7 linked regions of the Oryctolagus cuniculus genome follow. The protein of the gene in region 4 binds, or shares a complex with, the protein of the main gene of each other region. Links are inferred from orthologs where the notes say so. Each region holds a gene or a part of one and is shown on either strand. Other genes may lie near its edges.

Evidence for each region.
Region 1: the proteins of F2 (region 4) and F2R are in contact, whole or in part, in a crystal structure (PDB 3LU9), measured with the Homo sapiens proteins. The link is inferred for Oryctolagus cuniculus from reciprocal best matches to the Homo sapiens genes F2 and F2R. Residues at the interface, in NP_000497.1 of Homo sapiens: Phe382, Arg383, Pro386, Gln387, Glu388, Leu389, Leu390, Cys391, His406, Cys407, Tyr410, Trp413, Lys415, Leu423, Arg425, Arg431, Thr432, Arg433, Tyr434, Ile441, Met443, Glu457, Asn458, Leu459, Asn506, Thr510, Lys517, Gly518, Gln519, Arg541; in NP_001983.2 of Homo sapiens: Ala33, Thr34, Asn35, Thr37, Leu38, Asp39, Pro40, Arg41, Ser42, Phe43, Leu44, Leu45, Arg46, Asn47, Pro48, Asp50, Lys51, Tyr52, Glu53, Pro54, Phe55, Trp56.
Region 2: the proteins of F2 (region 4) and F2RL3 are in contact, whole or in part, in a crystal structure (PDB 2PV9), measured with the Mus musculus proteins. The link is inferred for Oryctolagus cuniculus from reciprocal best matches to the Homo sapiens genes F2 and F2RL3. Residues at the interface, in NP_034298.1 of Mus musculus: Glu385, Leu386, Leu387, Cys388, His403, Tyr407, Trp410, Asp411, Arg428, Arg453, Glu454, Asn455, Leu456, Trp501, Gly502, Asn503, Trp508, Thr510, Gln516, Arg538, Ile539, Asp559, Ala560, Cys561, Glu562, Gly563, Asp564, Val585, Ser586, Trp587; in NP_032001.2 of Mus musculus: Asp54, Lys55, Pro56, Asn57, Pro58, Arg59, Gly60, Tyr61, Pro62, Gly63, Lys64, Cys66, Asn68, Asp69, Ser70.
Region 3: the proteins of F2 (region 4) and FGG are in contact, whole or in part, in a crystal structure (PDB 2HWL), measured with the Homo sapiens proteins. The link is inferred for Oryctolagus cuniculus from reciprocal best matches to the Homo sapiens genes F2 and FGG. Residues at the interface, in NP_000497.1 of Homo sapiens: His450, Pro451, Arg452, Arg461, Arg486, Ala489, Ala490, Leu493, Ile530, Val531, Glu532, Arg533, Cys536, Asp546, Asn547, Met548, Phe549, Cys550, His605, Phe607, Arg608, Leu609, Lys610, Lys611, Trp612, Lys615; in NP_068656.2 of Homo sapiens: Pro439, Ala440, Glu441, Thr442, Glu443, Tyr444, Asp445, Ser446, Leu447, Tyr448.
Region 5: the proteins of F2 (region 4) and FGA are in contact, whole or in part, in a crystal structure (PDB 2A45), measured with the Homo sapiens proteins. The link is inferred for Oryctolagus cuniculus from reciprocal best matches to the Homo sapiens genes F2 and FGA. Residues at the interface, in NP_000497.1 of Homo sapiens: Phe382, Lys384, Ser385, Gln387, Leu423, Arg425, Tyr434, Glu439, Lys440, Ile441, Ser442, Met443, Lys470; in NP_000499.1 of Homo sapiens: Trp52, Pro53, Phe54, Cys55, Ser56, Asp57, Glu58.
Region 6: the proteins of F2 (region 4) and plasma serine protease inhibitor are in contact, whole or in part, in a crystal structure (PDB 3B9F), measured with the Homo sapiens proteins. The link is inferred for Oryctolagus cuniculus from reciprocal best matches to the Homo sapiens genes F2 and SERPINA5. Residues at the interface, in NP_000497.1 of Homo sapiens: Arg383, Pro386, Glu388, Leu389, Leu390, Cys391, His406, Cys407, Tyr410, Pro412, Trp413, Asp414, Lys415, Trp455, Glu457, Asn458, Leu459, Asn506, Arg541, Ile542, Asp562, Ala563, Cys564, Glu565, Gly566, Asp567, Val588, Ser589, Trp590, Gly591; in NP_000615.3 of Homo sapiens: Gln241, Lys295, Lys296, Arg297, Thr368, Ile369, Phe370, Thr371, Phe372, Arg373, Ser374, Ala375, Arg376, Leu377, Asn378.
Region 7: the proteins of F2 (region 4) and SERPINE2 are in contact, whole or in part, in a crystal structure (PDB 4DY7), measured with the Homo sapiens proteins. The link is inferred for Oryctolagus cuniculus from reciprocal best matches to the Homo sapiens genes F2 and SERPINE2. Residues at the interface, in NP_000497.1 of Homo sapiens: His406, Tyr410, Pro412, Trp413, Trp455, Arg456, Glu457, Asn458, Leu459, Glu509, Thr510, Ile542, Asp562, Ala563, Cys564, Glu565, Trp590, Gly591, Glu592, Gly593, Cys594; in NP_006207.1 of Homo sapiens: Val225, Arg288, Ser355, Ala356, Thr358, Thr359, Ala360, Leu362, Ile363, Ala364, Arg365, Ser366, Ser367.

What each region holds. Positions count from the first base shown.
Region 1 is NC_091445.1:1,175,121-1,179,423, reverse strand, and holds the start of F2R (proteinase-activated receptor 1), read right to left. Parts: upstream 2,850-4,303; 5' UTR 2,778-2,849; coding exon 2,690-2,777; intron 1-2,689. UniProt on the Homo sapiens protein: High affinity receptor that binds the activated thrombin, leading to calcium release from intracellular stores.
Region 2 is NC_091447.1:65,131,261-65,134,849, reverse strand, and holds F2RL3 (proteinase-activated receptor 4), read right to left. Parts: upstream 2,268-3,589; 5' UTR 2,154-2,267; coding exon 2,039-2,153; intron 1,794-2,038; coding exon 733-1,793; 3' UTR 598-732; downstream 1-597. UniProt on the Homo sapiens protein: Receptor for activated thrombin or trypsin coupled to G proteins that stimulate phosphoinositide hydrolysis. May play a role in platelets activation.
Region 3 is NC_091439.1:11,111,665-11,116,073, forward strand, and holds the start of FGG (fibrinogen gamma chain), read right to left. Parts: upstream 2,852-4,409; 5' UTR 2,770-2,851; coding exon 2,692-2,769; intron 2,591-2,691; coding exon 2,546-2,590; intron 1,944-2,545; coding exon 1,760-1,943; intron 1,647-1,759; coding exon 1,553-1,646; intron 45-1,552; coding exon 1-44. UniProt on the Homo sapiens protein: Together with fibrinogen alpha (FGA) and fibrinogen beta (FGB), polymerizes to form an insoluble fibrin matrix. Has a major function in hemostasis as one of the primary components of blood clots.
Region 4 is NC_091432.1:19,213,025-19,216,643, forward strand, and holds part of F2 (prothrombin), read right to left. Parts: intron 1,922-3,619; coding exon 1,607-1,921; intron 1,402-1,606; coding exon 1,288-1,401; intron 1,213-1,287; coding exon 1,086-1,212; intron 1-1,085. UniProt on the Homo sapiens protein: Thrombin, which cleaves bonds after Arg and Lys, converts fibrinogen to fibrin and activates factors V, VII, VIII, XIII, and, in complex with thrombomodulin, protein C. Functions in blood homeostasis, inflammation and wound healing.
Region 5 is NC_091439.1:11,081,350-11,084,149, forward strand, and holds the end of FGA (fibrinogen alpha chain), read right to left. Parts: coding exon 2,173-2,800; intron 1,454-2,172; coding exon 744-1,453; 3' UTR 543-743; downstream 1-542. UniProt on the Homo sapiens protein: Cleaved by the protease thrombin to yield monomers which, together with fibrinogen beta (FGB) and fibrinogen gamma (FGG), polymerize to form an insoluble fibrin matrix. Fibrin has a major function in hemostasis as one of the primary components of blood clots.
Region 6 is NC_091451.1:39,381,742-39,385,816, reverse strand, and holds the start of plasma serine protease inhibitor, read right to left. Parts: upstream 2,840-4,075; 5' UTR 2,701-2,839; intron 1-2,700. UniProt on the Homo sapiens protein: Heparin-dependent serine protease inhibitor acting in body fluids and secretions. Inactivates serine proteases by binding irreversibly to their serine activation site. Involved in the regulation of intravascular and extravascular proteolytic activities.
Region 7 is NC_091434.1:15,252,147-15,256,029, reverse strand, and holds the end of SERPINE2 (glia-derived nexin), read right to left. Parts: intron 2,305-3,883; coding exon 2,221-2,304; intron 1,269-2,220; coding exon 1,231-1,268; 3' UTR 509-1,230; downstream 1-508. UniProt on the Homo sapiens protein: Serine protease inhibitor with activity toward thrombin, trypsin, and urokinase. Promotes neurite extension by inhibiting thrombin. Binds heparin.

The sequences.
Region 1 (4,303 bases), on a different chromosome or scaffold from region 4:
CCTCCCCCCCCCCCGGCTCAGGGGTCAAGAGCTGCGGTCAGGGGCCCGTGCCCAGTGAGTCATTGTGCTTTGGCTGTTACTCTGCAGAAAGAGCAGTGCGGGTCCTCAAGTCAGCCGACCTGCCCTGCTGCAGCCTCCCGGCTTCTCCAAGCACCTCGGGGCCGCGGGACTGGATGACCACATGGGGCCGCGGGACTGGACGACCACACGGGGCCCCGGGACTGGACGACACGGGGCTGCGGGACTGGACGACCACAGGGCGCCCTCTTGGGCCATGCCTCTCCCGCCTGACCCTGGGAGCGAGTCCACGGCGGCCTCCCCCAGCCGCCAGCCGGCAGGACTCCGTGCTGCCCTGTGTGGCTCAAGCTGGGGGAATGAGCAGAGGCCCAGGGCCAGGCCCAGGTTCCCACAAAGGTTCCCAGGTTCCCAGCAAAGCGCACAGGACCCAGGGGTGCAGCCACGTCTTCAACAGCAGCAGAGCTAGGGTTCAACTTGAACGAGAGCAGACAGCTCCTCTCCAGGTCTCCCCCACGGCGCAGGGTGCATGAGCAGGGGGCTGGGTCGGCAGTGGAGCCGGGACTCGAGCCCAGACGCTGCAGTGTGGGACGTGGGAGGGCCCCGTCCCCTAGTGACTTCAGGTCATGCCGTTCGAGAGAGGGTCAGGTTCAAGAGCAGCGAGTGGACGAGCAGCGCCGCAGGGGCACAGAGGGTCACGCTGGCCGCAGGGTCACAGGAGGCCGCCGGGGGCCGCGCTGTGGCGCAGGGGGCGGGGCCTCTGCCTGCCGGGGTCCGGCTGCGGGCTGCCAGTCCTGGCTGCTCTGACCTGACCCCACTCCTGCTAACGCCGAGAAGCCCGCAGTGACGGCTCCAGCAGCCGCAGACCAGGATGGCGCTCCTGGATCTCGGCTTTGGCCTGGCTCAGCCCTGGCTGCTGCGGCCAGCAGATGGAAGATCTCTCTCTCTCTCTCTCTCTGTCTTATCAGTCTCTGTCTCTCTCTGCCTGTTTCTTACGAGACGCCAGGCAGAACCGAAGCTCGATGCTCAGTGCAGGGGGTCGGCTGCCTCCCGGGAACCTCCGTTCCCACAGGTCCCACGCTGGGCCCCGCACCCCTCCCTGTCCTGCTGCGGCCCCCGACCCGAGCGACCCACCAGGAGCAGCCCTGGGGCGGCTTCCTCCCAAAGCCGGGAGCCGGGGTTCTGCTGCCGCGGCACGGCTGTGAACCCCGGGGGCGACTTGGCAGGGGTTATGGAATCAGCTACAGCGACAGCAGGAACGCAGACTGTGTAGGATGTTCCGGGAGAGCACGCAGGGCAACTCCTGGGTGAGGGCCGTGGTGCCCTCGCTACCTGCGCAGCAACTCCATGGCTTCCAGTTCTCACTCGTGGTTTGCACAAGGGAAAACCGAAAACCGCCTCGGGACCCCAGCGCCGGGTCTCCAGCCTGTCACTGAACCAGGGGTCGCGGCACACGCCTCCTAAAGTTACAGACGCATCGTCATGAAAGTGACAGGAACCTCGCTCACTTCTCAGGGAGCTCCTTCTGCAGCACCCGCAGACGCCGCCTCGTCACCCGGCTCAGGGGGTCTCCGGGTCACGGGGTGGGGCGGGAGGGGGCCCAGCCGAGTTCACCCCAGAAAGAGCACGGCCACAGCGCCAGGTCTCCACTGCAGGGCTGCAGGTGGGAGTGAGTGGGAGACAGGCAGCGGGGAAGAAGCCACAAAGCAGGAGCAGGTGGGAAACGCCGCGCTGAACCTCAGCGGCACAGCCATGCATGCACCAGGGACCAGATCCCGGGGGGTTCTCCCGGTCACCCCCCAGAGTGACAGGCAGAGGCACCCCGCACACGCAGAGCAGAATGGGCGGTGCCAGGGCGCCCCAGGAAAGCTGAGGAACCAGCTCTCAGCAGGGCACTCCTGGGCGGGGCTAGCCAGTGGGCACCGGCACTCGGGACTGCCGGACAGAACCTGGCGTCTGCTCCGAGCCGAGCCCAGCTTTCAGAACCGGCAGGAGGAACCGAGTCCCCGCCTTAACCAGGCGATTCCAGAGGGAGCGGGTGGCGCCAGGCTGGAGAGAGCAGACAGCCGGCCACTTTGCCCTCAGCCTCCCTCCTGCCGCCCCCACCCCCCACTCCCTGCGAGGCTCCAGGCCCCGCGGACGCCGGCCAGTCCCTTTCTGCGCTGTCCGTCTCACGGAAGGAAGCAGGGGACGTGGCAGGACCCGGTCAGGGGCCCCGATCTTGCCCACCGCGTCTCCACCAGCCTGCGGGCTCCCCGACGGCCGCGCCGGGCTGCGGTCCTGGGACGCCCCAAAGGCCAAGTGTACACGGCGAGAGTGGGGCGCCCCCCACCCACGTCGTCCCCACCCGACCCGGGCCCCGACGGCTCCCGCGTCTGTCACAGCGCGCGGGCGTGACCGGCTGGACGCCCTGCCCGCAGCTCCGGAGCGCGGCCGAGCAAGCCGTCTGCCCTATTGACCTGGGCAGGCGGCCTGACCGGCGGGCGAGGCGTTCCAGCTGCGGGACGCCCCTGCCCCACCCTGCGCCCCCCCCCCCAGCCACGTCCGCGGGCACCGCGCGCAGGGCTCCGGCCTCAGCCACGCGCCGGGGGCTTCCGGGGCGCACTGCGGCCCCGGGGACCGGCCGGGCACCCTCGGGGCTGGACTCAGGGTCCGACCCGCTCCCGCCGCTCACCTGGGTCGCGGTGTGGGGCGCGGGCGCTCAGCAGAGGCCAGCACAGGCTGAGGCCGGCGGCGACCAGCAGCAGCCGCCGCGGCCCCATTGTCCCGAGTCGCGGCCGCTCTCCCGGGTCTGCGGGCGCGCGGGCACTGGCGGAGCTGGAGGGGCGGAGCCGGGGGCGGGCGCGGGGCCCAGAGGGCGGGGGAGACGCTGGGGGCGGGGCCTGGGGCGGGGCTACCGCGGGCGCACGGGCGGGGGTCCAGGGAGCCGCGGGGGGCGCACTCCTCTGCCTCCGCGCGGCGCGCGCCTGCCGCTCGCCCTGGGTCGCCACCTACCGAGACCGGCCGCTGCCTCCGGACCCAACCCCCGGCCCGCTCCGGCGCCCTTGACGCGCGCGGCCCTGGGGACCCAGACCGCGGGTTGCTGGCGCAGACGCGGCTCCGGTTCCGCAGCAGCGCCGTGTGTGCAGGGCTGCACGCGGCGAAGTGGACACGGTGCTCCCGAGCGTGCCGCCCGTCGGCTCATCTATTGTTCTATTGGTTATGGTGTTTCAACAATTCCTTCTTATTGATTTTAATTTTATTAGAAAGGCAGAGAGCGTGAGAGCGTCCATCTGCTGGTTCAGTCCCCAAATGGCCACCATAGCAGGGCTGGGCCAGAGAGAAGCCAGGAGCCAGGAGTTTCTTCCAGGTCTCCCGCGTGGGCACAGGAGCCCAAGGCCGTGGGCCATCTTCTACTGCCTTCCCAGCCCATAGCAGAGAGCTGGATGGGAAGTGGAGCAGCCAGGACTCGAACTGGCGCCCATGTGCGATGCGGCACTGCAAGCGGTGGCTTTACCCGCTACACCACAGCGCCGCCCCTCACACGGGTTGGCTACTTTCTTTAGTGTCACTCTTTAATCTTCTAACGTGAAGTGATGTGCACCCTGCTTGTCCACCGCAGCCACATTGTGCAGATTTTTAGACGCATACGGATGTAAGTTGGGCCTAAAGTTTGGTCAAGTTCATTAAGCCGTCGATCCATGGACTACTGGCAGGTTCCGAGAGGCATTTTCCCAGCACTTTCTGGCCCCGTGTGTGGTCTGTGGGTGACGCCTTCTCCTTCCCGTTCTGTCCCCATACTAGGAAGCCCCGGGGAGCCCGCGTGCTCTTGGGGGCCCGTGGGGGAACTGTGGTGTCTCCAGTGGCTCTGCCGCCATGCCAGCCCCCCGGGCCGCGCCTCGGCAGCAGCACTCCCCCAGGTGGAGCTGGGACCAGGGCGCTCGCTCGCTCCGCAGCTGTGTGCTGGGAAGAGCAGAACAGGCGGCGTTTAACTCCGCGTTCCGAGAACTGAAGTCCCCTGGGTTCCTGGGAGGGCAGCGTCCTGCGGGAGCCCGGTGCCGCTCATTGTGCTCGCTGGCTCTGCTCTGTGTCGCCGTCACCCAGGAGTGCGGGCCCCCGGGTGCCTGCTGCTGGCGGAGTTTGCACACAAACACGACAACGTCCTGAGCCGAGAGCTAACCCCAGGTGAGAGGAGGCAGTTCCCTCTGGCCGGTAAGTGGTCCCTGCGCCCCTGCCCAAGGCTCCCCAGAGTGTGCCCGCAGAACCTGTCCCTTCCGGCTGCAGACAGCGTGCTGAGACCGCAGCTCAC
Region 2 (3,589 bases), on a different chromosome or scaffold from region 4:
ACAGAGAGAACGGCGGGCTAAGGAGGAGGGAAGGGGCTGGTGTCCTGGGCTCCGGGTGTGGCTGCCCACGCCAGGGAGGCCCGCGGCCACTCGGACCGCCCCCACGAGCGGGGTGGAGCCAGAGGCTGAGTGCGAGGACCTGGGCGTGGTGTCCAGCCCATCTGCATCTCATTCCTCGTCGATTTCTCGCCCCCCCACCACGCCCTGGGGCCGCTGTAATGGAGTCCCTCAAACCAGGTCGCTGAGGACAGGACATTTATTGCTTCACGGGCCTGGAGGCCGGGGCTCCCAAAGCAGGGTGTGGGCAGGGGGCCCCTCTCCGGCCTCCGGGGGAACCTCTCCTGCGCCTCGGCTCGCGGCTGCACCGCGCCAGCCTGTACCAGCGTCCACAAGCGGCTTCCCTTCTCGGCTCTAGCTCCGCCTCTGGCGCCTTTAGCTCCTCCCCTGTGCTTCGGTGCGCCGCCCATCGCGTCTCTCCCCGCCCCTGCGCCTCTAGCCACGCCCCTTGCCCCCGCCCCGCGCGCCTCTAACCCCATCCCCTCGCGTCTCTGGCTCCGCCCCTCACGCAGACGTCAATCATAGCAGGTGTCAGCAGGTGCTCCAGGATGGCTCCATTTCCAAGGTTCCAGGAAGGGCGCGAATTTGTGAGGGAGGCCCCCCCAGTACTCTTGTCGCCCGCTCTTGACGGGGTGGGGGTGGAGTGGGGGCGAGCGGTGGGGGGGGGGGCGTCCCTCACAGCAGGGAGGAGGAGCGAGTGCCCGAGGCCGCCGGGCCGCCGCCCTCCCCCGAGGCCTTGGAGGCCGTGGCGCCCCCTGGCGGCCGGCGGGAGAGCCCCTCGCGCACCTTGTCCCTGAACTCGGCCGAGACGTAGTAGTACACGAAGGGGTCCACGCAGCTGTTGAGCGTGCTGACCGCCAGGCTGGGCACGTAGGCGCCGTACAGGTCGCCCCAGCCGCCGTGGCGCGGGTTCGTGTAGTGCAGCAGTAGCAGGACGTTGCTGGGCGTGAAGAAGCCCACGGCCGAGGCCAGCACCAGCGCGGTCAGCCGCAGCGCGTGGCCGTAGCGCTGCCCGCCGGCCGCCAGCGTGCGCAGCGTGGCCCCGTGGCACAGCAGCATGGCCAGCAGGGGCAGGAAGCAGCCGAGCAGCGCCAGGCAGGTGAAGGCCGGCCGCCAGTAGGCCAGCTGCGCGTCCTGGGGCAGCACGTCGTGGCACAGCACGCGGTCCGAGCCGGCCAGCCGGAAGGTCTGGCGCTGCATGAGCAGGGGCGCCGCCAGGGCGGCGGCCGAGAGCCAGGCGGCGGCGCAGAGCCCGGCGGCCAGGCGCTGGCCGCGCAGGGCCCGCGCCCGCAGCGGGTGCACCAGGGCCAGGTAGCGGTCCAGGCTGACGGCGGCCAGCAGCAGCAGCGAGCCGTACATGTGGCCGTAGAGGGCGGCGGTGGCGGCGCGGCAGGCGGCCTCGCCGAAGGGCCAGCGCTGGCCCCGCAGGTGGTAGGCGAGGCGGGGTGGCAGCACCAGGGCCAGCAGCAGGTCGGCGGCCGCCAGGTTCATGAGCAGCAGGGTGGAGGGCAGGCGGGGCACGCGCGTGGCCAGCACCCACAGCGCCAGCCCGTTGGCGGGCAGCCCCACCACCAGCACCAGTCCGTAGAGGCCCGGCACGAGCCGGGTGGGCACCCAGCCCAGCAGCAGCTGCTGAGAGCCGTTGGACAGCCGCAGCGTGTGGCTGTCATTGAGGCACGGCTGGCCAGGGAAGCTGCGGGGGCGTGCTGGAAGGAGAGAGACAGTGGAACCCCCTGCTGGAGAGAGAGAGAGAGAGAGAGAGAGAGAGGGATGCAACTGTCAATCAGGGGTAGGGGCAGGGGTCGCTTAGGAGCTGCGGTCTCTCCGGCTGATGCAGGGGATGGAGTGTCCCCCCGGGGGACATGGCCCAGCCCCCAGGACCACAGAGGGGTCCCCAGCTCCCTCTCCCCACACGCCCCACCCCCACCCCCCCACAGCTCCATCTCTGCAGTCCACCACGGCCCAGGCTGGGTTCACTCACCTTCATCACCCGTCGGGTTTTCCGTCTCGTCGTAGTCACTGGGGGCCTGGGTGCTGCGTCCCAGGCTGCGCCCCAGCATCAGCGCCCAGAGGAGCAGGAGCCGGAGCCGCCACATGCTGCTGGGCGGGCGGGCGGCCAGGGCTGCTATGGGCTGCGGCCTCTCTCCCCTTCACAGGGCTTCCTGCCCCCCTGACCCCTCTGCCCCCAGCTTCCGGAGCCGGGGCGGAGGCACAGGCAGTGTCCCCACGGGGAGATAAACCCGGGAGGCACAGCCCCTGCCCCCACAGGCCCACTAGAGCGCCCCTGGTCCCCCTGGGGGAGCCCCGAGTGTACACTGCCCCGGCGGGGAGGAGGGGTGGTGCTCCAGGCCATGGGGCACCTGAGATGCCTCTGGCCAGTGCAGAGCCCGACCAGCAAGACGGGAGGGGGTCCCCAGCCACAGCCCCTGTTCTGGGCCCCTGTCCAGCCCAGGATGTGTCTGTGGCCTGAGTGCTCACTTCCTGCTGGCACAGCAGGGCGGGGGGAGTGGCCATCGGGGGCTCTTGGCCCTTCCTGAAGCCCCCCCTCCCATCCCCACTTCCTCCTCTCCCTGTGGGGCAGGGCAGGAGCCTGCTTTGCGGGGTCAGAGGTCCACAGCCTGATGAGGGCCTCTCCCAAGCACCTGTGACCTCTGAGGGGGCCCCGTCCCCTCCGGCTGCCCCAGAACCTTCCCCCTGGGGAAGAGCAGCAGAGGTGCAAGGTGCCTGGTGAGCCTGGGGTCTTGTGGGAATAGCTGGGGGTGTGGGGGAGCATCTTGGTCCCTGGCGCTGCCCTGGGGTCTCAGTGGACCTCAGCCGGTGCCCCCTTGGGAGGCGCCGGTCTGTCCCTGGTTGTCACAGCCGCTCAGCTCCTGGTCCTGGCTCACCCCCAGCCTGGGGTCCCCCGGGGGTGACTCCCAAAGGCAAGGACCAGGCCCCTCCCTCCTCCAGCTGCCCCCCATCCCTGCACCGGGGCACCGGATGGGCACAGTTCATGCACCCTGGGAAGATGGTAAACTGAGGCACAGGGTGGGGTGCCTTCCTGGGGCCCATACCCAACCCCACAGGGCTGCCCGGCCCACCCGGGGGGCCCCTGTGTGGTCAGGGCTGGGCCAAGCGGGGCGGTGGGGGGGGGGGAGATGGAATGGACTGGAGGGGGAGGGGCTGGCGTGGCTGTTTCCTGCCCTTGGAGCCCTGGTCTGGTCACACACTCGGGGACTCCCGGCACCAGCCAGCCAGGAAGTGACTGAGCAGAATGTGGGAAGGCAGGCGGCCCCCCTCTGGCAAGCGGGGGCCCGGGTGTCGCTCCCCCTCTTCATGGAGGAACAACACTAAGCCCTGCCTAGGCTTCATATCCGAGTCACGGCACCATTATGTCGCTCCCCCTCTTCATGGAGGAGCGACACTAAACCCTGCCTAGGCTTCATATCCGAGTCACGGCCCCATTATGTCGCTCCCCCTCTTCATGGAGGAACGACACTAAGCCCTGCCTAGGCTTCATATCCGAGTCACGGCACCATTATGTCGCTCCCCC
Region 3 (4,409 bases), on a different chromosome or scaffold from region 4:
TAATGATCTTTTGATTGTTTGAGTCATATATTTCCTGCAAAAATCTACAAACAGAACAATAAGACACCAGAAGAAAAGTACTCCTTTTGGGGGAGTATGTTTGTATTGTTTCAAAATCCTATCATTTATTTAAGAATTACTGCGTGACAAATTCTATTCTTAGGACAGCTATAAAATTCTGTCATTAAATTGGGGTAAATTAAAAGTCCATGCTTCTTTGTAAACAGAAGTGCACACACACACAAACACACACACAATCAATTACAGCAGAAATATAGTTTTGACTTGCATCTTTCACCTGGAGCAAGCATGTAACCTGGACTCTGAATACAAAGTCCTTGTCAATAAACAAAGGTCCCTGGAAGCGATCCTTTTGGGTTTTTGCTGGTGAGAAGCCCGGCTGATGGGAGCACCCGGGGTAGTTAAGAAGTGGCAAAGGGTCTGTTTAGTAACTTCCATGTGCTTTTAGCTGTGGATCCACTAAAGCTCTGTTTACAGACTTCAATCTGTAACTGACACAGGAAGAGTGTGGGAGGCATGGTCACAGGTAGAACACCAGCCACTTTCCCTCTCTTCCAGTGTTTCTCCTTAATAACTTGGGAAAAGGGCTGGAGGAAGTAAACCCCCTGCTTTTGTGATCTCCCATGGGGTGCTTGTAAATACGCAGAAAGGACAGAAAACTCCAATGCACAGACTACTGTTGTCTTTAACTTGTGAACAATTTAGACAAGTTATTCAGCTACTTTCTGCAAAATACTCTGCTTCAACTGCAATGGTGGGCAATACTAATTAAATGGCAATGAAAATAGCAATCCCAAGAATAGAATAACAATGACTTTCTGATACCAAAGGGAGGAGAGAGCCTCCCTGGATCATTTCTCTGCAGCCACTATTTCTCAGGTTGCTTTGAGAATTATTTGGAAAAAAAAAAAAAAAAGTAGGGAAGAAACTAAAGCTGTGTGTAAGGGCCCATATTCCGAAAGCTCCTGAGTTCCGGGGGGGGGGGGGGGTGCTGTGAGCAGAGACCATTTACTTCCAAGCGAAGGCAGCAGCCTGTGTAATCGCAGGTTCTCTGTGTCACGATCAATACAAAGCTTTACAATATTAAACGTAGTCTCGGGATTTTTTTTCCCACTTCAGTCTCATGTACTTTAGTAGCCAAGACCCTGCTTAGACTTCTACTTGCTAATTTTCTACCAATTGCTTGTCCTTGTTATAAAGCAAATTTGATTTTTTAACATCCATATTCCCATGAGTTTGATTTTACATTGCAAGACAAATAGGGAGGCATTGAGATAAATACGGTCATAATGGCAAATTTGAAGACATCTAGAACATCTTTTTTCCTGTGTGATTTTTAAAAAGGATATACTCAGTTCAATCTTGCACTAAAGACTCCTGCTTCCATGGTGGTCAAGATAGCCACACATACTGTCATCGGATGTTATGAATGACAACAAAAACACCTGGAAGTGTTCCTCTCACCGGAGCATGGGCTGTTAAATAAACACTAAATCAGTCTTGGAAGGCAAATTAAAACAAACATGCTTACCGGATACTTGACTCGTGTGATAGAATCAGTGCTTCATATTTCATTATTTCTTCCACCATTTTCTTGGATTTCTGAGTAGCACTGTCTATCTTATCTGTAATGTGAGAAGAGAAACATAAAAAGCCACGTAAGCAAACAGAACACTGGAAACACCAGCAAGAAAACTTCACAAATGATCTTCTCGTTCAGAAGACCTTAGGTCCTCACTTGGTACCGATGGTTCAGCAGTATCGTAGCTGACTTTGATTGCTTTGATCAGTTCGTTGGCTTCTGTTGATCTGTTTTCTATTTGACTTAACATGTGTTCCAAAGTCTGTAGATCTTCATGCACAGTGGATTGGAAATTATACATAAAATCTGCAATGCCACAGGTGGTTGGGCAAAAACTACCCTGAAAATAGAACCATCAGATAATTACAACTCTTGACACAAGCTATACTTCAAGTCTATTGATATGGGGTGGGCGTTTGGCATAGTGCTTGAAACACAACTCGGGATGCCCGCCTGCATCCCGTTATCAGAGTGCTTGGTTTGAGATCCAGCTCTGTTTCTGATTCCTGCTTCCTGTCCAGGGAAACAGCAGTGATGTCTCAAGTAGGTGGGTGCCTGCCACCCACGTGGGAGACCCTGATTGAATTCCTGGCTCCTGTCTCCACCGGGCTTAGCCCTAGCAATTGTGGGCATATGGGGAGTGAACCAACAGATGGCAGATCTCTGTCTGTCTCTCTTTCTCCCTTGCCCTTTCAAATAAAGTAATTAATTAAAAGATTAAACAAATTCTATAAATAAAAATAGGTAAAGCCTAGACAAGGAGGAGTTTCCAAAAAGTTTGTGGAAAAATGCTTGCTATGTTTTCATTCCATTTTCTGTGAATGTTGTGAAATCCACTCGCACGTTTAAGAAGTTTAAACTGTCAAGTGCACTTAGAGAACTGTTTCTGTTTCTCCACCCCTCTGCCATTCCGCCCAAGTGAGAAACATGCTGAGTACTTACGAATCTTTGGTCTAAGATGCAGCAGTTCTCTCTGGTAGCCACGTACTAAAGGAGAAAAACACAGAAGTGTCACTGGTTTATCACACATCATCTTATTCTCTCAGCTTTCCACTTGAAACCACCTGTGTGGGGAACAGCACACTTACAGCCAGGCATGTTGAAGAGAGCAGTGAAAGAGTACAGAAATAGAGAATTAAACTCCGCGGGTGCACGGACCAACTCATGATGTCTTGGGTGCCCGGTGCTCCAAGCCCGGCAGTGTCAGCTCTGTGGCCTCCGGGGCTCCGGCTGTCCCTTTATGTGAGCTCAGGCTCTGGCTGGGTGACACGGCGAGTGGCTGGAGCTGATCACGGGGCCTCCTTCCCGGAAGGGTGGGGACATCCTTCCCGTCCCCTTGTCCCTTTGTCTCCTCCTGGCCGTCACCTATGCCCAATCGGCTTCCCAGATTTTGCACACAGGTTTAAGCTCCTCCTTTTTGGGGCCAGCTCACTGTTTTACCTCTGATCTAAAATCTTCTCTAAGGCGGGTGAAGCATTTGCTTGGCCGAGAGGAGGGAGAAGAGCCAGAGGCTGCATTATGCAACTTCTTCCCAAACGAGCTGACAGCAAACACAGAGGTCCCACCTCCCTCCGCACAAGCCCTCCCATCCTTGCGAGGGGCCTGCCACCCTAAACTCAATTACCCAAGGCCTTTCCTAGCTCCTGGTTTGAGGCAGAACCTTGTTTAACCCATGGCTTTGGCACCGGGAGTCAATGCTTTCTCCATGTCTATAATGCAATACTGCTAGGGACCAGTAACACTGGGAGCTACCTTGCTGCCCCTCTCTTGGCCGTTCCCATAGGTTCTCAATTCCCAAGGAGCTTTTCGGCCCTATGCATCTCTTTGTCTGGGAGAACCAAGGCTCCACACCTGACACGCAGGGGAAACAAGCCAGGAGCCCATGTGCTTTCCCCAAGGGGTCATCTGGTTACATCTGAAGAAAGTTTAAGGACAAGAAGGGGGTGTGTGGAAAATCTATGGTCCATGTTCTGACTACTAGGGACACAGCTGCAGGAAAAAGCAACAAAAGAGGGAGGGGAAGGGCCATTGTCTTTGTTCTGCCCCCTAAAGCTTCCCTGCCTACGGAGGAAAATGTCAGTCTTACTATTTCCTATTGATAGCTTACCATGTGTGTTAGGGCTATTACTAATCTCCCTATTCTTGGTTCCCCTGCATTGCCTCCCCGGAAACCAACCTTACTTCAAACTGTGATGAAGTAGGTTAGCGGGAGAAATACCCCTGATTCACAGGAAATGCCGACACTTCAGTGCTTAGTTCTGAGTCTTGACAATGCAATAGTTAGGTTTCTCGACTTGAAAACAAATATAAATGTCTAGGTGCCGTAACGATCAGTCGTCATGATAACAAAGTGACTCTACCAAAAACCGCATCTTGCCTTGTTCTCTTCCTGTTAGCTCCCCTCCCTGATCCTTCAGTCTTTGTCAATGGTGTCGCCACACCACCAGCCAGTTAAAAAGTCTCCCAGCTTTTCTCATGCATCTCATCTGATTAGCTGGGGTGGATGAGACAGCGTCTTGTTAAAAGTGTTTGTACACCGTCGCTTTCGTTTTATGCCTACTTTCCGCTTATACTGCTCCCATCCTGGTAGAGGCCCCAGTTACTTCTCTGGACTGCCTGCTTCCTTTTCCCCACCCAGCAACTTCCCCCTCTGAATCATTTGTGGCTGGGACTGTGACATTCACCCGCTCAAGAGCCTGCGGAGACTCCCTGTCCCCCATCACGGACACCTCCAGTGTCTCCTCCTGCCCTCACTGCTTCTCTCCCTGAGTCTGACTCCTACTAAGAGACTAAGCAAACGCAGTCA
Region 4 (3,619 bases):
AGTAGAAAGCCCCTGGCTTAAGAACTAGCTGGGGGGTGGGGAGGGGCACCGTGGTGTTAATAGGCTAAAGCCTCTGCCTGCGGTGCCCTCATCCCATACAGGTGCTGGCTGGAGTCCCGGCTGCTCCTCTTCTGATCCAGCTCTCTGCTATGGCCTGGGAAGGCAGTAGAAGTTGGCTCAAGTCCCTGGGCCCCTGCACCTGCATGGGAGATTCGGAGGAAGCTCCTGGCTCCTGCCTTCAGATTGGCCCAGCTCTGGCCCTTGTGGCCATTTGGGGAGTGGACCAGTGGATGGAAGATCTTTCTCTGTCTCTCCCTGTCTGTAACTCTACCTCTCAAATAAATAAAATAAAATAAAGAACTAGCTGGGGGGGGGGGGGCGGGCTGGTGCCATGACGTAGTGGGCTAAGTCTGCCTACATCCTATGTGGGCACCAGTTCAAGACCCAGCTGCTCCTCTTCGGATCCAGCTCCCTGCGGATGGCCTGGGAAAGCAGCGGAAGATGGCCCAAGTGCTTGGGCCCCGGCACCCGCATGGAAGACCTGGAAGAAGCTCCTGGCTTCGGATGGGCCCAGCTCTGGCCATTGCAGCCATTTGGGGAATCTCTGACTGTAACTCTGCCTCAGGTAAATAAGTCTAAAACCAGCTGGAGGGCCCTCAGAGGGTTAAGATGCTCCCTCAGCACCCACAGCCCATCTGGGCACCAGTTTGAGTCCCAGCTGCTCCGTTTCTCATCTAGCTCTCTGCTTGTGGCCTGGAGAAGCAGCGGAAGATGGCCCACGCTCTTGGGCCCCTGCACCTGCCTGGGAGACCCGGCAGACCATTTGGGGAGTGAATCCGAAAATGGAAAATCTCTCTCTCTCTCTCTCTCTCTAACTCTGCCTCTCAAATGAATAAACGAACCTTTAAGTAGCGGGGAGCAGGGAACTAACTGGACAGAGCTGGCTCCAGGTTTGCTCAGCAGAAGCACCAGGCTCAGCCCCGCCCAGAGCTTCTGTAAACCCTGAGCCTGGGGGCGGAAAGGGCTTCCCAGGGCTGTGCGTGGCCCTGGCAGCGCGGGGCGGGTGGCGGGGCAGGCGGACGCACCAGGGCGCGCTGCCGATCTGGGCGTCGCGGCCCCCGACGATGCGCCCGTGGATGTAGGACTCCAGAAGCTCCTCCTCCCTTTCGTCCTTCAACGACTTCTTCTCAAAGAGAGGACGCAGCCCACAGTCTGCAGAGCAGGGCAGGCTGTGAGGCCCCGGCCCCGCCGCCCCCGCACCGCCCCCCAGGGCCGCCCTCGTCTCACCCGCCTCCCCGGTGCCGAAGGTCTCCTGGTTGAAGAAGGTCTGGAACTCCTGCTCCGTGGTGCGCCCCTCGATGGCCTCTTCCAGCCCAAGTACCTCCTCTTCTATGGCCTCCTCTGCAGGGGCCCAGGCACCGTCGGCGCTGGGCTGGGCTGGGCTGGGCCACTCTTCAGAGCGTCCCCTAGACTGCCCCCACCCCCACCCCCACCCCTGCTGGCCTTGGAGGCCGACAGCACAGGTACCGCCGGGGCCTCAGTTTACTCGTCTGTAAACGGGGAGAGGCCCTGCGCCCCCCACGCCCACCTCTGCCGGCCCACTCACCGCAGTAGTTGAGGCCGCAGTACTCGAAGCTGCTGGGCCTCCCGGCCACGTAGCACCACGCGCCCTCCTCGTCCCCGTCCGGGTTGCGGCAGAAGTTCTCCACCAGCGGCACTTGCGGGCTGAAGCTCTTGCCCCTGCTCAGAGCCTGGGCCTCCGGGCTGCTCCAGGCCAGGCAAGGGGTCCCTTGTTTGGTGACCGCCAGGCGCCCCTGATAGTGCCTGCCGCGCTCAGAGACGCAGGGCTCCAGTGGCGGGGGCTGCGTCACCCCGGAGTGTCCAGTGCGTGGTCTCAGCTCCAGGGTCACTTGCCCCTGGCCTGGTGGGTGGGGAGGCAGAGAGTAGGGTGGGTGGGCCGCCGCTAGGCGGCGCCAGACAAGAATTCCAATCCGCGCCTTGGCTGCTGTCTGCCCCAGCGACCTCAGGCAGCCTAACTTCTCTGGGCTTCTGTTGCCTGCTTTTCAAGGGCTTGCTAAAGGCATTCTTGCAGGTGGGAGGCCTAAGCAAGACCTGCAGCAGCCCAGGAGCCAGGGTTGGCTTCCTGGGCCAGCTGTAATCCACTGGGAGTGACTGTGGGGAGATTCGCCAGGATTCTGTTTCCCTAGGGGCAGGGCAGGGCAGGGCAGGGACAGACGTCAGCGGATGCTGGTCACAGGCAGCTGTTTGGGTTAAGATGACTGGTGACGGGGCAGGTGCTGTGGCGGAGCCGGGGAAGCTGCCGTCTGCCATGCCAACATCCCACATGGCTGCCGTGTGTGTCCCGGCTGCTCCACTTCAATCTAGCTCCCTGCTAATGAGCCTGGGACAAGCAGCGAGAGATGGCCCAAGTGCCCGGGCTCCTGCCACCCACATGGGAGCTCTAGATGACGCTCCTGGCTTCTGGCTTCAGCCTGGCCCAGCCCTGGCCACTGCAGCCATCTGGGGAGTCAATCAGCAGATGAAACCTCTCTCTCTCTCTCTCTCTCTCTCTCTCTCTCTCCCTCTCTCCCTCTCTCCCCCTCTGCCTTTCATATAAATAAATAAACCTGAAAAAAAAAAACACAAATGGTATATTTCTGGTGTCAACAGCTGCCTCATTCTGCCTCCCCCCTGACCATGAACGCATGGGGACTTCAAAAAGTTCATGGAAAAATGGAGTGAAAAGTATGAGTTATTTTGGTGCAAAAACATATTGAAGCCCATGCATAGCTTTTTCAGAATGCGCATTTTCCACATACTGTGGGAGAAAAAAAAAGGTTTTTTGGCACCAGAAGAATTTTTTATTCCAAAATAAATGGATGATTTTAATTCCATTTTTCCACAAATGTTCTGATGTCCCCCTGAATGTGTGCCACGGATCTGGGCCCAACCCTGGAGCAAGGAGCCAAGCTCAGCTCAAGCCATCAGTGAAGGCAGAGGTGTCCAGCCCAGCCCAGCCTCCCTCAGTGGACCCCACAGCAGCTGAGACCAGCGGAGCCACCTGGCCTGTCCACAGTCGCGTAAGAAATATGGGCTCTTGAGGCCGGCGCTGTGGCATAGCGGGTAAAGCCGCCGCCTACAGTGCAGGCATCCCATATGGGGGCCGGTTTGAGTCCCGGCTGCTCCTCTTCTGATCCAGCTCTCTGCTATGACCTGGGAAAGCAGTAGAAGGTGGCCCAGGTCCTTGAGCCCCTGCACCCACGTGGGAGACCCAGAAGAAGCTCCTGGCTCCTGCTTTCGGATCGGCTCAGCTCTGGCTGTCGCGGCCATCTGGGGAGTGAAGCAGTGGATGAAAGACACACCCCCCCGCCCCGCCTCTGCTCTCTGTAAGTCTTGCCTTTCAAATAAATAAATAAATAAATACATCTTTAAAAAAAAAAAAGAAAAGAAAAGAAACACGGGCTCATCACGCAGTGCACCTGAGATGGTGTGGTTGTCTGTCTGGCCACACTCTGGCGCCTGTGATGAATGAAATCACACAGGGCCGAGCTGCCTGAGGCCAGCTCTGGCTCAATGGTTAGGGACGGCTTCCCAGGGAGAAGCTAAGGAGAGGGCGGGA
Region 5 (2,800 bases), on a different chromosome or scaffold from region 4:
TAGAATCCGGAGGAGAGCCAGGGCTTGAACCCAGGCCCTCTGACATGTTACACAGGTGTCCCAAGCAGTATCCTAACCATCGTGCCAAACGCCCACCCCACTTTAGATCTTCAGTGCATTTCTCTTACATTTTGGAAAGACATTGGTTAGAACCCGAAATGTAAGTGTGCACCATGGTCTCCAGTGGAAGACTGAGGATAGATTTCCATTTTTAGTAGGAAAAAGAATGCTTCCCCTGCCTTCCTGGATTTGCTTTCTATCAGAAGACATGAGCACACTTTGTGGATTCAACAGAGGCCAGGCAATGTTCAACAGGGTGAGTTTTAACATAAAATGTTGGTTGAAACTATTCAAGTCTAATGAATGCAAGAACTTTGTACTTGGTCTCCGTCCTGTGACATTGGGAGCTATGGAAAGAGCAGTTTTCTTGGCAGTACCCTGCAGGGTTGCAAAGAGGAGCCTCCCTCTGCCTCCCCTTCCTGATGGAGTGAACCAAAGTCCCTTGGCATATCCTTATAAAAATGTTAAGGCCCATGGAACTATTTAAAGATTAAAAAAACTCATGTAATTTTATTTTGGAAAGCACTAATATATCTCAGTTACATTTAGCTACAGTACAAAGAATGATAAAATAGCACCTGGGAGTTTTTTAGTAGGCTGTGAAGAATCTCATCTTCCTTATTTTCCCTCCACTTTGCTAAACAAACAAAAGAACCGCGCGCTCCCGCTCCCACCAGTCCAGTCTATGGGGTCCTCAGAGGTCTGATTTTCATGCGAACAGCCCTGAGGGAGTAGTCTGCCCCTCGGAACGGGACCCACACCACTCCGTTCTCGATCTCGTAGGGACTGTTGTTCCTCGGGTCATAGGGGCCCCCAGGGTAGTAGATGCCATTGAGATTGGCTGCTTGGCAGTTGTTGTACCACCAGCCTCCTCCATAGACTTCCGCACAGTTCTCTTCCCAGTGGTCTGCATCCCTGTCAAAGGTGCTGAACTGCATGCTGTTGTGAGACGTGTACTCTGCTCCTTCCTCCACGGAGCCTTCAATCAGAGCATCCCCGGCGGTGCCCTCATAGGAGGAGACCTGCAGGGCATAGCCTTCTGCCTCGGAGCCCACCCGAAAGTGATATTCTGCATAAGCGCCTCTCCCATCCCAGTCTTCTAACTCCACCCTAAGGACGGAGGCCCTCAGCGTTAGGAGATGGAGCTGATCGTTGCCTAGCCAGAATTCTCCTTCCCCCTTGTCATTCAGGCTGCCGAAACCTCTCTTGTAGTCTTGCCAGGTCCGGTTAAAATTCAGTGATCCATCCATTCTTTGCTGGATCAAAAGCCATCCTCCCAGACTGGTCTCTTGATCGCAATAAACAGAAAAAATCTTACTGGATCCCGGTAGCTTGATATTGAAAATACCACTTTGGGCACCTGAAGGATGTGTTTGGAGGACATCATCACAGTCTAAAAAAAAAATTAAGCTGGTTGGAAGAAGTTACTCTCATTTAACTTCACAAAGATAGGCATGGCGCAGATTAAAGAGGACAAATACTACTCCCCTCCCTCCTTTCCTTCCTTCCTTCCTGATTTTCTTCCATCCCCTTGTGGGGAAAGGATGCATTTACATTCGGATAGGATTTTGTGCAAGTGAGGAGCAGACACCTACAAAATCTAAGATTATTTTCCCCAAATAGATTTGGAATTTTACTTGTGCATACTGACGAATAGCAAGTGATCAGAAAAAGCGACTAAGCATCACTTAATACTAATACAACTTGTTATTTACCTATCTAAATGTCAGCTGATACATGCAGTGAAAGCATGGTTAATCTATTGGATAGCAATTCGAACAGCACGCATTTTGAGTGGTGAAAGAATCTGGTTAGACAAACTCAAATCGAGTTGCAGAAGAACTCATTCATTTCATTTCACATGTATTTATTGAGGGATGACTGTCTGCACTGTTAGGCATTTGGGAATACAGAGATGAAGAGAGTTGACAAAGTCCCTGCCCCCATGGAACTTACAGTCTAACATGAGAGAGAGACTCCCCCCAAAAAAGAGTGCAATTTCAATAAAGAGGAATAGAAAGAAGTACAGGGTGCCGTGGGAGCATTTTGCAGATGTAATTAACTTAGTCTAGGGGGTCAGAGAATGCTTCCCCGAAGGAGAAGTGTGGATACCTCTGGAAGGGCGCACTTTAGCATGGGTTCTCCTGCTGGTGTGGGTGTGTCTGAGTTCCTGGTCGGCTTCCCCTCCAGCCTCATCTGCCATTTTGTAGCTTTTGCTCTCGACGGTGGAGCCTCCTCTGTTGAACGCTGTGTGGCTGGTGACTATCTGTTTTCTATGAGTTGTGGTCTTGCCACTGGAAGGGAAGCTCGTGTGGTGAGAACCGGCTCCCTCCGCATCTGTGAAGAAGTCCGATTCAGAGCCCATAGACTGGCTCTTACTGCCAAACTCTTTGAAAGAAGTTGAAAGTAAACCTGGGAATGTTGATGCTTTTCCTGTGGAGGAAGTGTCAAAGAAAGATGCCTCGCCAGGGTGCCTAAAGGAGAAGTCATCCAGGCTGCCTCTGGACATGAAAGAGTGCATCGAGTCTAGATCGGGCACCTCGGGACACTCAGAGCCGTCTTCAGAGTGCACCACTTCTTTGACCACTTGTTTGTGGCCGTCGGGACCTGTAACAGTCTTGGTGATGGTTTTGGAGCAAGAACGACGCACGGTGGACGTGCTACTGCTGCTACCAGACGTGGCCCTCTCGTTACTAATCAGCATCTCTTTGTCTCCTTTCGAAGTGACCAGTTTTTCCGT
Region 6 (4,075 bases), on a different chromosome or scaffold from region 4:
TGCATTTAAAGACAGAGCCTTGATAGAGGTGATCGAGCCAAAACAAGGCCACTAGGGAGGGACCAGACCAATGTCCTCATAATAGAAGGGGAGGTGAGGACGCAGATAGGTGCAGAGGTGAGGACACACAGGTGCAGAGGGGCTGTGGACACACAAGTGCAGAGGAGGTGAGGACACACAGGTGCAGAGGTGAGGACACAGACAGGTGCAGAGGTGAGGACACACAGGTGCAGAGGTGAGGACACACAGGTGCACGGGGCTGTGGACATGACAGGTGCAGAGCAGGACCACGGTGGGACACGGAGAAGGCAGCATCTATCCACCACGGAGGGGCCTGCAGAGACCCCCTGGCACCTCGGTCTCAGGCTTGGCCTCCAGCACTAGAGAGGAATTTCTGCTGCTCAGGCGGCGGCGGGGGGGGGGGGGGGGGGGTTGTCTCTGGTGCCCCAGGACACAGCCCATCTTCTCTTTCCATCTTCCAGAGGAGGAGGCTCTCCGCGTGGCCCTGGGGGCCGTCAGGTGGCCTGTGTCAGCTTAGCTCTTTCTGCCTGCCTTCTGCCTTCAGCACCTCCTCCCTCCCTTCCTCCACCCTGGAGCCATCTCCTGTTCCTGCTTCCCTGTCTGGCTTCTGTTCTAAGTCCCTCGTCTACCCCACGGCTTTGCAGAGCCCACACTGCAAAGCCCACTACCCGGTGCCAATCTCAGCCCTACTGCGGCCTGGTCATGTGATGTGGGGCAGGTCAGTTACACTGGAGCCCCCACTCCCACCCGAAAGGCAGAAGTGATATCAGGACCGGCTCCCTGGGCACCTGTGGCCTTCAGCTGATCACCATAGATAAAAGCTGGCAGAAGTGCCAGTGCATGAGGAGCCAGTGGGGCCACGTCTGGCCAAGGCCTCGCCTGAGACCCCATTTCATCTGCTTTGCGTGGGGTGCACGCCTTCTACACGTACCCTCCTGTGCACCTGAAAGCAGCCCCGGCAGCCGATTGCCGAGCTGCGGATGGCCTGCCTGCTTCTAGGCGGTTGTCCCCGCTGCGTTCCATTCCTGGAGTGAGTCCCCTCCTGCTGGGTTCTCTCCCACTCTGGGCACCATCCTATCGGGCCCTGCAGGCCCAGGGCAAGCGGGGCCAGCCTGCCGGTCACCTGACCCCAACCACGCCCAAGGGGCCCCCAGCAGTGGCGTGGGAAATGGTTGCTGAGCCGGGGAGAGATGGGCAGACCAGGGCTGCAGGTCTGTCTGTCTGAGCCACGTTGAGTACTCCTGGCCTCCACGCTGCACGCTGAGCTTGGAGAAGGAGGCTGATGGAGGAGGCTGTGCCTGCAGAGCCACAGCCCCCCGGCACCAAGCCAGCAGCCTCTGCCATCGCCGTGCGGGAGGCCCAGGCCCATGGTGGCGGCGGCACCTCTGTCGGGCACCGCACAGTGTTGACATTTCTGCTCCTCCAGCCTCACGCCTTTCCCACGGAGGCAGCTCCATTTCACAGGCAGGAAGACTGAGGTGCACCACTGCAGGGGTCCACTGTGACCCTGACCCTTGAGGCCCCAGTGACCTGGCTCTCCCAGCCTCTCTGGCCCACTCTGCCCTGAGGCCCAATTCTCCCAGTGCCTCAACCCCACTCTCTGCAGTGAGCTGTTGCTATCATGGACGAGGCGGGGCGAATGAGTGAGTGAGTGAGCAGGTGAAGGAATGAATGGACCTTGGCTCCTCCTGTGAAATCCGCAGGTGGCGGACGCCTGCTGGACACTGAGTGCTGGCACCAGAGCCAGGCTGGGCACCCGCAGCTGAGCTCTGCGGGTGACCTTGAGCATGAGCAGAGCGTGTGCTGGGCTTCCTCTCTGCTGGTCTGAGCTGATTTCATGAGCTGCCCCAGCAAGCACACGAGTGCGCACCATGAGGCCACCCGACAGTCAATGCCAGACGTGGCCGGCACCTCCCGCACCCCGGCTCTCAGGCTGGGGTTCCCTGAGCTGGGACCCAGGGCCCTGGCCCAGGGTAGCCTCTGCTTTGATTGCCGCTTTAGCCCAAGGGGCCATCCAGAGCTGTTAACTTCCTTTCTCTGTTTGTTTACTTAACAAAGCGCCTAAGGGCTCCTGGAGCCACCCCACGACTGCCCCTGGGGGCAGCCCCCAGGCAGGGCCCTTATCTCGGGGAAGGAGTTATCTTTGGCCATTTCTCCTGGTAATTTTTCTGAGTCTCTAGGCCCAGAAAATAGCACGAGCCACCACTGACTGAGGGCTGTCTAGCAGACACCTTCCCGCTGCTTTATTTCAGGGCTCCCTGACCTTGGCCCAGGGGGCACAGGCAGCAAGATCCTTCCCTCTCCGGGGCCCTGCTGTACACTGGGGGGTGTCTGGCGATGTCCCTGGCCTCCAGCCCTTAGTACCTGTCCTACCTTGTCCAGCGGTGACAGGCCACCTGTCTCCAGACACTGCCGGCTGTGGTGGGGTGAGAGCCACACCATGCAGAGGCTCTGCCACATTGAGTGTGGAGCCCGAGGTCCTGGAGCGGGGGTGGGGGGACCCTCTCTGCTGCCTCAGAGCCCCGCTTGCCCCCTGACCCTGCAGGGGCCCTTCCAGCTGCTCTGACACTCCCCCAGGGCTCTTGAGCATTGTAAGCCCACCATGCTCCAGGCTGCCTGTGCCCCTCCCTGCACTCCTGTGCCTCCCACGGGCCCCCCGGGAGCAGGAGCTATACTTACTCTGCAGGCCCAGCGTGCACAAAAGGAGGTGGCGGTCTGTCGGACACAGCAGAGGGCAGAGGGCTGCCTGGAGACAGCCAGCCTTTGTACCTGACTGACCACGGTGGCTCTGTCTCCACCCCTCCTCTGGCCCCGCCTGGCCCCGCCTGGCCCCGCCTGGCCCGCCCTGTCCTGTCCCAGCAGGCTTCCTGTTGAAAGCAAAGCAGCAGGAGCCAGGGGCTGTTACCAGGCCCCTCTTACATGCTCCCAAGCCCCACACTGATCACCACTTGCCTGGAATGGAATGGCCACTCTGGGGTGGGGGTGGTTTACACGGGCCACTGGCTGCTGCCTTCCAGAAATGGGGAGGGGGCACCCTCAGGCCAGTCCTTCCCTTTCACTAGTCTCAATTCTTTTTCTGCAGATTGGGAGAGCGTGGCTTGAGCCTGGGCTGGGCTTACTGCATCACAGACCATGGCAATTGGAGGAGAGGGTCTCCGTGAGCCCCCCACCCCCACCCCCCACCCAGCTGAGACAAAGGGTCATCACAGAATCCAACCCCCTGAGTGCACTAGCGCCTGCGCCGAGGCTGCCAGGGCAGAAGGAAACATCCAGCGTCACACATGGTGTTAGTGGCAGAAAGAGGCTTGGTGCCCGGGGGCTGACTTCAAGGCCAGCGCTCTTGGCTGCACTGACCCTTCCTGCCTTGAAATGAGGGTCTCCAACTCTGTCCTGGCCTCTTCAGAAGACTCCCAAGCGGCTGGCACAGGGGCCTGGCTGAAGCCTCGCTCCATGACCCAAGGCCCCATGCTGGGCTTCCGCTCACCGCAGGGTGCTGCGTGTGGGCGCAGGCGCAGTGTGGAGCTGGCTGAGCAAAACACAGACCGGGTGCTTCCCGGGGGAGGCGTGTCCCTCCCAACGGCCGAGACCCCACCTTTCCCTTCTCCCTGACTTTGGAGCCCAAAGAGTTCTCTATGTTTCCCCAGCAGAGATAAGAGGGAGTGTTTAGTAACACTTTTTTATGTATTTATTTTGTATGTATCTCATACTTACAACATTAGAGACATAGTAACTCTTCCCACCGCACCCGCCCTCCCACCCACTCCCCCCTACCCCGCCTCCTCCCTCTCCTGTTTGGTCCAAGAAAGAAAAAGAAACAGAAAGAATGGAATTAAAAAACTAAGAGGATGTTCCTCAATGGTCTGGACATTCTTGGGGTCTTTAAAGACAGTGAAGTTTCTAAAAGGAAAGAAGGGGAGGAAGGAAGGGAAAAGAGGAAAGAAAAGGAAAAAAAGCGAAATCATCACCTTCGAGAAGCAGCAACAAAGAACAGCCCTCGTCTGGTGATGCTTTTTAAAGGACCACACACCAAACCCAGGGCTTCGGGCACGCTGTC
Region 7 (3,883 bases), on a different chromosome or scaffold from region 4:
AAAGAAAAAAGAGCAACAAGTAGAGTTCATGAGCTAAAAAGAAAATAAATTTTTAAATTTGGTAAGAGATGAGTGCTTGAATTCAACTTGGGAAGTTATCCCAAAAGACCAAAATGTTTGTTATGTCAAAAAAACTCTCAACTCTATCAACAAAAATGAAGCATTCACTGTTCCCTTAGATTTATAACACTCAGTAAACACTCAGCACTTGCTACAAAAATCCCCATCTTTGCTGAGAATACTTAGCCATTGCTTGAGTGAACGGCAATTAAGGTTTGAATGAGGATGTCTATAATAATTATTCCTCGAAATGATCTATAAACTGAGAAGTGTTGAATCTGGGAATAGTGTTTGATTGTCAGGTTTAGAGAGAAAAGATAAGCAAAGTCCAGGGGCTTCAAGTTTCCTGCTGTTTGCCTAAGCACAAAGGCTTATTACAAGAGGTTGACATATTTTTAAAAGGCTCAATTTTTTTTTTGCTATGCTTTCAAAATAGCAGAGAAATGGCTTCTTTTTCTACCCATAACACTTTATTTTTACTTTGTACAAAATACAAAAATGCAGATCCAAAGAGTACAGACCAGTAGTGACAGGCACACTGCACAACAGCAAATCTTGTGTGGCAAGACATTAGTTTTTTAAAACTTTATTTTAGTGAATACATGCATTATATAAAACAACAACAGCAGCAACAACAAAAACACAGAGAGGCTAGAGATTTTGCTATTTCTACCCCCAAAATAATGCTTGCTATCAAGACTTTGGATGGAGGTGGGGAAAGAGAATTAAAAAGGCAAATATTTATTTCCATAAAAAAGTAAAAGCTACCATAAAATGTCCTCATTTTTTTCCTGTCACACTGATTACATTTCTTTTGAAAAGCCACACAAATAAACAGAAACAAAAACAAAAATCCTGAACTGAACAGACAGCAAACACTCAGGAGGGTTTGTTAACCTAGGTAACCATTCAGTAGTTTAAAGAATCTTCTAGACATGTCGAAGCCTTTCTATTCACTCTCAGTACAGTGTTCCATCCGTCTGCCCTTTTACCCTTCTAATACCTCCCAGAACAGAATTGCTTGCATCACTGAGTCTGTTGCTAAGAACTAGTTTTGAAAAAGAAAGTAATGTACAAAAATATTTAACAGAACTATGAAAGATGTAGGAAAGGAGTCTTTTCTTCATAGCAAAGTAGTCTGCTCTTTGCAATGGTTCGTTTGTATACTCTTCAGGGTTTGTTTATTTGCCCCATGAATAAGACAGCACCTACAGAATTAAAAGGAAACAATATATAAAAGAATAATCTTTACAAGAAGTTGAAAGACATTATATTTGGTCTGTGTTGGGGGAGGTGCTATGTTTAACCTATCACTTGGTAATACTGTCTAATAGAACTTTCTGCATGATAGAAATTGTCTTTGCTTCACAGACCAGTAGGGTAGCCCCAAGTGACAAGTGCCCAACTGAGTGCTTGAAATGTGGCTGGTGTTACTAAGAAACTGAATTTTTAATTATATTTCATGGTAATTTAAAGTTAAACAGCCACATGGCCTGGAAGCTGCCACACTGAACTGTTTGGCTTCTGAGCACACTAATTAGAACATTAAAGATGCAATGAGATAGAAGGATGAGGAACTGTTTTCTCTAACTGATTTTTAAAAAATAGTAGAATCTATAATTTCTTAGTGCCTGCTCTCTACCAACAAGAAGTCAAACTTTAAAAAGAAAGTCATGTACTTCATTATTGTATTAAGACATAGGGATGCTTGTTATGTTCATTTTAATTATGACACTAGAGGTCAGGGCCAAGTATGAACACATAACTCATAGAGCTAAGGTCTATTGATCAAGCAATTCTCAGGTCATATTGGCACTTTGGGCTTGCAAAGGTTAAAGATGTGTAGCTCCTTGCAAACCTTACTGCATTTATAAAAACATGGAAAATCCAGCAGATGTCCAAAATATCCCATTGACCTCTTTGCATGTTAGAAACTTAAAAATATACCCAGAATTTGGTCAGCTTTCAAAAGTTTCCATCACATTCTAAAAACACAGTCTTGATTTCCCTATCTACTGTGGTGTTTATATTATTGAAAGTGTTTGTGAAACTGACACAAGAGAAATGGACTAAGGGCAATACTGTCAGATCAACTGCAACTGCAACGCGTGTTTCTGAATACTAACAACTAGTGAACAATGGAACAGGAGAGTTACTTACCTGTCGGATTATGTCGAATGAAAAACAGAAAAGGTCTGTCTACTATAAACCAGGGAGGTGATGATCTTGCAATTAGAATTGCAGCTATGGGAAGAAGAGGAAAATGTGTTATACACCTAATGTGAGGCCAGCAAGGTAGTTAGCTAGAGGGACCCTCAGAGGCAGGTATTTGAGGATACACTTAATTCCTGCCCCATAGGCTGGCTGAATTAAAATGGGCTCAACAGTCACCATGTACTGAACACCTGCCGTGGGCCAGACCCTTTATATTTGCCATCTCATTTGTTCTTTAGAAGCACTATCTTCTCCAATAGATGTACTTACTCTTCATGGAGTTTTTATGAGGACTGACATAAAACATGTTCCAGCTATTAGAAAGTGATTGCCACTCAATAAACACCCAATGCCTATTCAATGTTTTTTTTTTTTTTTTTATTATTCATACCATCTGCCTTGCTGATAAAGGCCCCTGTCCCTTTTTATCCAAACCCTTTCTGTATATCAAGGCCTAGCTTAGTCCTTAATATTTTTATCAGTGCTTTCTTCTTTGACAAATCATTTAGAGGTGTTCCTTGTGCCAGAAACTGGAACACTCTGGACAACTTATCTCATGGAGACATCTGACTTACAAGCTTCTGGAGGCTCATGGGTCTTACACATGCCTGTTCTGCCACAGCTACCAAAGGTGGCTTCCACTGGAAAGACACAAGGCCTTGAAGGAGGGCAGGTGTGAGGCATAACTACCACACCTCTGCTGCAATAGCTCAAACCCCTGAAAAGCATTAACAACTTGAGCTTGACATTATAAAGGAAACACCTGCAGATTCCGGAGCAAACCATTCCACCCAAGGGTCATTAAACACAAACTATAGGTGTTACAGGCCCGGTGGTGTCCCTTTCAAAATTCATTATGTAGAAGCTTCAACCCCTAATGTGTCTTAGAGATAGGGCCGTAAAGGAGGTAATTAGGTTAAATGAGGTTCAAAGGGTGCTTCCAATAGGACTGGTGTCTACATCAGAAGGCGTAGAGACACCAGGATGGACACACAGAGAAAACAGCCATATGAGGACACTGTGTGGAGGCACCCTCTGCAAGCCAGGGGGAGGGACTTGAGAAGACGCCAAACCTGCCAATGTCTTGGTCTCGGACTTCCAGCCTCCAGAACCATGAGAAAATAGATTTTTGTGGTTTAATCCATCTGCACAATGGGAGTTTGTTATGTCAGCCTGAGCTTATACAGCAGGACCTGGGTGGCTACACAAGGCCCTGCACTTGGGTTTAACAAGGTTTAAATGTCACTACAAGACCTAAAGAAGATTTAAGTCATCTTAAAAATTCCAGCCTGCTTATTCTAGGTCTTTGTTTTAGATGCTCTTTTAAAGCAAGGAAAAAATGTTTGAGAAAGGCAATAAAGCAAGCATCTCTTGTGAGTATAAACAGTGTGTTTCAGTGACCAAAAATATTCTACCCAGCTACAAGTTTTGCTGATACGCACTTTATGAGCTCACAGAATTTGGTCAAATCTCTTCATCCAATATCATATGGATAATTAGAGGCAAAAAAATTGCCTTGAGATTGGCCTGTTTTCTCCTTCATTATGTAACCACCAAGGAGAAAGCTGGTGTGGATGCTCTGATTATCAAAGGAGGCTGCCCAGCAGTT